Neodiprion lecontei: one gene and its partner. The protein of the gene in region 1 purifies or fractionates together with the protein of each later gene. This does not show direct contact. Links are inferred from orthologs where the notes say so. Each region holds a gene or a part of one and is shown on either strand. Other genes may lie near its edges.

Region 1 (3,760 bases):
TCTCTCTCTCTCTCTCTATTTATATATTTATATACACATGTATACTCTGTTCCAAAATAATGTAGCATACTTTTTTGCTGGTGAATGTCTTGCCATGTATTTTACATACAATGCCTTGTGACGCTATTTTAGCATTGATTTTGATTACTTGTTCGTACATTGTTACGGTTTTTTGATTTTTTTTTCATTTTTAATTATGTACGTACGTACGTACATGCAAATATTTGTATCGATTATTTACTCAACACGTGTAATCAGTATTTTTTAGTTCTCCATTCTTGCATGAGTTTTTAAAGAATTCCTTGGTATTCTTTATTTAAACGAGGAAACACCTTTGTACGACGAATGCTGTTTTTAACAGCTTCGGGTACACAAGGTTTTTATTAGAAAATAATTCTTAGTCAATAGAACAAAAGCTCAATAACAAGTGCTAACCGAATAAAGTAAACCGTTGAGAGGATTTTTATCAAACAATAGTAAAAATGATAAAGAATAAACTTTTTTAAACGGTGATGGCGCATACATTTTTTTTCTTAAATATATTACTCATGTGATTTTAATAGTTTCTTTGGTACTGTGTTAATTTATTAAAGGGAAGTTGTTATTGTTTTGTAACTCCGTATTTGAAATTTCTAAGCCATTGGCCACAGTAACGATGACTTGCTCGATTACTTAACTGAAGGTGAACTTGTAGCGCGTTACAAAATTTAAGTAGTACCTTAAGGTTTATTTACAAAAATGTAGAGAAGACTCATTTGTCCGAACGTGTAAGTAATCGATAAGCAAGTCCTTAAGCAAGGTGCCATTATTTAAATTGAAAATATATATTGAACATCCACGGCTCGAAGGAAGTATGATTCAATCTTGAGTCATTGCATTAATTTCCTACAAGAATAAATTAAATAATCTCTACTTAAATCATAGCAATAAAAGTCCGGACACGAGATATCTCAAGAAAATATTTTCCTCTGTGAAGAGTCGAACTCTTGTCCCTTACTCTTGATTTACATACGACTGCTATAACTCGAATGTCTTATTTTGCGAACGAATGTGTCGTGATTTTCCTAACTTTGAAGCTCTTGCAATATTTTACTACAGCGATTGAATAAAATTATCTCTCAAAAGGGGGATGATTAGTGATTTTAAAAATATTCGTATGTCTAATCAGGAGTAAAATATTGATGCGAATTAAGTTACGTTCCAATTGTTTGTTATTATAGTAGAAATAAATGCGTATTTTTGTAATTATAACAGATGTGATTTAATAAAGGAGGAGCCTTACGGATTATGTACCGAAGCTTTGTTAACAGAAATCATCAGGGGGTAACCGTGGTTGAATAAAATAAATTGTTTATATAAATGAAAAAAGTACTGATTATTATACTATAATTACAAATCAGTTATGTAATAGATTGTTTTTTTCCTTTATACACAAGTAACATACAATCTAGCGACGATGTCGCTCATTCGCGTACGTGAAACATTTTCTTCACCATATTGTCATACTTCTTCTGAGCTTCGTAAACTTTTCTCCTATAAATAATCAGTCTTTCTTTTGCAGCTTGATTTTTTGGCTGTAATCCGATGACTTTTTCCATGTCTGCCAAGGCTCGTTCGTAATCCCCTTGGTTTTCCCGGGCTACAGCTAGTCTGTAGAGTGCTTTGACGTTGTTCTCGTCCCTCTGGAGCACCTTGTAGCAAAGGGAAACTGTATGCTCGAAGTTTTTCCGCGTCAAGTGACATTCCGCCATGTTGTTGTACAAGATCCTCCTAAGATGTTCTATGTCATTTCTGAGCGAATCTTCTATATCGCTTTCGGGGATTGGCTCCAAACTGATAAGGATCTTGCAAGCTTTGCTAAATTTCGAAAAAGCATCAACGATTCTCGAGGACTTATAAAGGCGCACCCCTGCTTCTTTGTAATACAACGCCACATCGTACTTCTCTTTTGCCGACCATTCCCAAATCGGTACGTGTACCTCACAGGCTAACAACTTTATCTTAAGCGATAGGCAAACAGTGTCGTCTAATTTCACTCTTACCAAACTCTGCTCCCCAGTGAACATCGTTTGAATCGCCCTCTCGACATATTCGTCTACCCTACAATCGGCATCCCCGACAGTTATTGTCAGTTCTTCTGTTGACGATGGCTTAATGTAATCGCTGTGTTGAGTTTCGGGGTTATCGGACAACCCTGATGAGTTTACGTCTTCGATTCTAACACGGCATCTGGAACGTTCCGTAGGCTTCTTTGAAAATTTTCCAGGCACCAAAATATCTTTCTCAACGCTACTGCCCACCGACTCCCAAACTACCGTCATGACTGTATCTCACTTCTTCAACAGACTTTCTCAATATTATTCACGCGATTCTTGAAAAGCGAGAAAATTATCTCACCGTTTTCTTAACCTAAAAGCAATTCTTTGTCGTACAAAAGCTAACGAATTACTCAATTCTTCACTGTTACAATAAGATACTCGTATACAGGGGATTATTATTCACCTACGGATAATGCGAAATTCTTTCAAATCGAGAAGCACGCTCGATAAACGGCCAGAATCCGGCGCCGATGACAGCCGCCTGCGATTGTAGATGTCAAATTGTCAACTGATGTGCGTGCATTGTTCATGCGATGCACGTGCAGATCCGGTTTGATGGAATGAATGAACAAGCGATAACTGAGAAATGATCATTTCACGGAATTTTACGGAAAAATTAAAGAATTACGTTTCTCCTTGTTATGCGAATATCTGTCATTGATCGATGTAACAAAACAATGAATAAAATTTGAGAGTTTGGTTGGTCGCAACTGAAAGTGCTTCCTAGGTAACGGCTGCTGCTATGCATTGTTAACTCTCACATCCGGCCCCCTTGAAATTATTATCATCAATCTAGATCAATTCGTTGCATTTCCCCCTGTAAATTTATTTTAATACAGTTCACCAGCTGAGACCGGTCGCTGTTTCTCCCAAACTCAAGCCTGCTACCGATAGTCGATGCCGTTTAGTTTCAAACTTTGAGCTACAGTTTGACAGCTTATCGTGGCATAAATTTTGTCATACCTTTGTAAAATCGCCATGAGTCAGTTTGCAGAATTTCAGCATGTTCTACAAGAGTTTAGTCCTCTACTGGACTCGTACTGGCCGTACGTTGTCGGCATCGTATTGGGAATTTTAACAATGATAAGGTAAATCCTGACGTGTTGCTTGAGGATTATTTGTGACTCGGACCATTGCATGCCTTCGATATAACGCGTGGGATTGGGTACATAAGCGGGTGGAGTTTTAGGGCTTACATGGGAGGACCGGACTGTCCCAGCGAGGAAAGAATTGATGGGAAAACGGTTGTGATAACCGGGGCTTCGAGCGGTATCGGTAGAGAAACAGCTTTGGAACTGGCAAGGAGAGGAGGACACGTAGTTTTGGCTGTCAAAGATGAAGAAGCTGGAAATAACGTAGCCGAAGAAATACGAGCCATGCCTAATGGAAAGGCAGACGTTAGAGTCGTGGACTTGTCTTCGCTGAAGAGTGTTCGTGCCTTTGCCGAAGATCTGGGTATGATGCGAGAAACAAAGACTTCGTAAATCTGGTGTTACATTGATCTACCTCCTGTTTTAGAACTAGACCAACTCGATATATTGATCAATAATGCGGGAATCGCTTTTCATCCGTATGAAAAAACTGAGGAAGGTTTTGAAATGCATTTTGTCACCAACTATCTTGGTAATTGTGCCGTATGCTAATAGCTTTTTCCAATCAGT
Region 2 (3,331 bases), on another chromosome or scaffold:
TAACGGAGTAATACGGTAGGCCTATTCTCAACTAATATTCCAGGAATTCTATCAACAATAGTAAATCCAACACATGACTCGTTATTTCTTTAGACTGTGGAGCAGCTGGGACCTACGATTAGTCAGAGAAATTGTAAATAGTGGTACAGGATACGGTGCTATAATCGCATTAGCATGGGCTTTGGATCAGCACCATTTATATGCAGCAGCTGAAGATTCTACAGTTTTAATTTGGGAAGGCATACGCCGCCTGAGTAATGGAACACCAAAATTCGTGAACTTATCCTCACTTTAGGTTCCTTTCAAGTTAGTTCTAGCGTGCTTAGAGAATGAATAAAATATTTTTTTTATGATGCTATAATAATCCCCGAGTGTAAATACTGATATTATCTGTTTAGGTCTATAGTCACTGTATCCCAGTTTTAGTTGTGAAGTGTGAATGGAATATATGTATGACAGAAAGATTTTTGTCGAACTGGTCTGCTATGTAATTTGAGAAGCAACATACATGGTTATACATTTATTAGATTTTTTTAATAAAATTTTTGTAACATGTCAAAATACACTTCCAATGTTTTGTAAAAATTTTGCTGTCGCAATATCTCCAAAGAACAAACTTATAGAATCTAAATTGATCTCAAATATTATTGAGACAAGGTTCTATCATTTCAAATAAAGGATAATATTTTCCAGTACGTCTTGCGATCTGCTCCGCATTATCGCCACTGGAATTCACTAAATGTGGATTAGTATTGTAATGCAGAAGTAGCAGCTGCAGTGCTGGAGAATTGTGAGAACTTGCACTTGCCAAATGAAGAGGCGTTTGATCTCCTTTTGATTTAGCATTTATATCAGCTCCATTAGCTATCAGCACAGCTGCGCAATCAACATGATTCCAACAACACGCGGAATGCAGCGGCTCCCAGCCATCATTGGTCTTAGCATCAATTTTTGCTCCAGTTTCAAGCAAGTACTATTGAAAAGTAAAATGTAAATGTAAAAGTGACAACATTTTGTCGAACTGTATATTTAAAGAACCTTTGATTGATGTTTATCAGTTCTTTCTACAAACCTCGACAACATCTACGTGATTTCCGTAGCAGGCTCTGTGAAGAGGAGTATAACCATCATGGTCTGTGGCATGGATTAAACTAGGATCTCTGATAACCAGCTGTCTGATCATTTCTAAATCACCTTTTTCAGCTGCTTCTAGGATGGCTTTACTGTCTGGTTCTGTGCAACAGGATTTTAGATGTTTCGAGCTTTCATGAGGGTAATTTATGCGGATATTTTTTTCCAGTTTAAATCGAATTTACCATAAAAAATTGTAAATTTGTTTATGGCAAAAAAAAATTTATCCTTAGAGAACAGTACATTTTCTAACCTCTCGCGTTTCGGTCCTCTTCAATACCGTCATCGTCATCTTCCCAGGCACTTACTTGCATTCGCTCACTGCGTGGCTGACTCAAAATTTTGTCGCGAATTGCCTCCAAATCCGTAATCTGGTCGTCCTCTTCTTCGGATGACATTTTTACAACCATTAAAAGTTTCGCAAAATACAGTTGGCAGACGATTCTGTTTTAATATAATGGATGAAATACTGGGGGGAATATTTGAAACAGCATCGAGATTAGAAGTAGTATTAACAGTTCGGAAAAATAAAAGATACATGGGCACCCGAGATAGAAATAAGCCAGAAGAAAGTCTCTTCAAGGCACGAAAAGCATAAATATTGTAAGGAAAACGCTTTGAACAGAATTTAATTTTTACGGCTTGCACATGTGCGTAGGGTTTTTGTTATAAAGTTGTGAAATTTAGGGAAAAACATCCGAAGAGCTTGCCCTTTGTTTGAAAACCCTTCTTCTTCTCACGCACATGTGCACAAATCTTTTTTGGACGCCGAACTATCCCGAGTTGCGGAGTTATACGCGGGTCTCACTTCGTTACCCCCAAAATGGGAGCGAAGTAGGAACCAGTTGAGGGCGTACAGTAACAGGATTTTTAATGGAAAGGAACCTTTTTGATTGGGTGGATATAATTCGTGAATTCCGCTCATGCACCTGTGCCTCGTCGGAGGAGATTTAGAAAAAGAACAGGCACTCGTATTTCTGGCTTGAACAGAGAAAGAACTTCTCTCTTAAGTATTTGTAAAGATCAGTTTGCATAGTTCAGTTTATCACTCACAAAGTTCATTTTCTACACTTCCGTTATCACTTGTAAAATACATCAAAGTCACTATTCAATTGTGAAGCTTGACTCTTTATCTTGCATCATCCTTATACTCTTTTGAATTGTCCCGCGTCTGTGGCTGACCAGTTTCTCGGTCCTATCGGTACAGAAGATCCCGTACTTATCATAGACTGTCGATCGTCGATTGTTTATACGTGGTTTATACAAAGCGAAACGCTAAAAATCCCGCGAAAATCAAAAATACCAACTCTAAGGAAACCTTTTGTATCGATATCTTTAGTCAACGTATCAGGGGAATGCACGAAGCCGGCGAAACTCCCCCAGGATTGAATTAGAAGCAGAACCATTTTTGATTAATCATTCGAGTACACTGTGCTGGAAATTCGCATCATCCATGCGTGTATTTTGAATGGTTCAGAATATGTAGAAACAAACCGAGGATAACTACTATTATTGACAAATAAACCTAACAAGTTTTTTTATAGTCGAGAAAATATCTCTTTTCTCATTATAGTTCAGAATCTAATCACATGTCTTGACGTAGCGCTAGGGTTGTGACGTGCTATGGCGCTACTTTGATTATTGATATTCGATAGACACGTAAGCTTGTAAAGGAAAGGGACTTGGAAAATGGGGTTGTTTGATCGGTTGGCCAATATTTTCGGCCTAAGGAAAAAAGAAGTGAACGTATTAGTTGTTGGACTTAATAACAGTGGTAAGTCGACGGTAATAAATCATTTCAAACGCGAGGAAGAGCGGTGTATCGATATTGTCCCTACTGTCGGGTTCAATGTTGAAAAGTTCGCATGTAAGTTACATGTAGAGATAAGTCAAGTCACTCGATGTCACCATAGAAGCTTTTTTTTTTAATGACGGTTACCATCACTATATAGACTTCGATCTCACTGCACTTGCGTGTTATTATAGTTCGAGCAATAATGTAATCAAGATCCCTGATGCATTTATCATTACTTATTAATATACGTTTATAAAGCGCGCACAATTTGTAGGTACAATTATAAAGTTGCACATAATTTAAAAATCCAGTTGATTGTTGAAGTTCAAAGAAATATTAAGTATACTAATTCCGTTTATCACGAAATCATTTGGAAGAGGTATAACCGTATAATATGATCTATTT

Evidence for each region. The genes of interacting proteins can lie anywhere in the genome.
Region 2: the proteins of tetratricopeptide repeat protein 9C-like (region 1) and ankyrin repeat domain-containing protein 49 purify together in Homo sapiens (affinity purification with mass spectrometry; 4 studies listed by BioGRID and IntAct, counting the BioPlex papers as one, with this or other methods). This does not show direct contact. The link is inferred for Neodiprion lecontei from reciprocal best matches to the Homo sapiens genes FKBPL and ANKRD49.

Annotation. Positions count from the first base shown.
Region 1 is NC_060263.1:660,310-664,069, forward strand, and holds tetratricopeptide repeat protein 9C-like, read right to left. Parts: upstream 2,642-3,760; 5' UTR 2,322-2,641; coding exon 1,464-2,321; 3' UTR 543-1,463; downstream 1-542. Other genes in the region: retinol dehydrogenase 13-like, read left to right, coding at 3,078-3,187, 3,274-3,554, 3,618-3,722. UniProt on the Homo sapiens protein: May be involved in response to X-ray. Regulates p21 protein stability by binding to Hsp90 and p21.
Region 2 is NC_060262.1:37,937,849-37,941,179, reverse strand, and holds ankyrin repeat domain-containing protein 49, read right to left. Parts: upstream 1,950-3,331; 5' UTR 1,542-1,949; coding exon 1,385-1,541; intron 1,234-1,384; coding exon 1,073-1,233; intron 974-1,072; coding exon 638-973; 3' UTR 506-637; downstream 1-505. Other genes in the region: lysosomal-trafficking regulator, read left to right, coding at 1-15, 94-295; ADP-ribosylation factor-like protein 6, read left to right, coding at 2,821-2,998. UniProt on the Homo sapiens protein: Induces HBG1 expression. May have a role in spermatogenesis where it promotes autophagy in response to serum starvation, via the NF-kappaB pathway.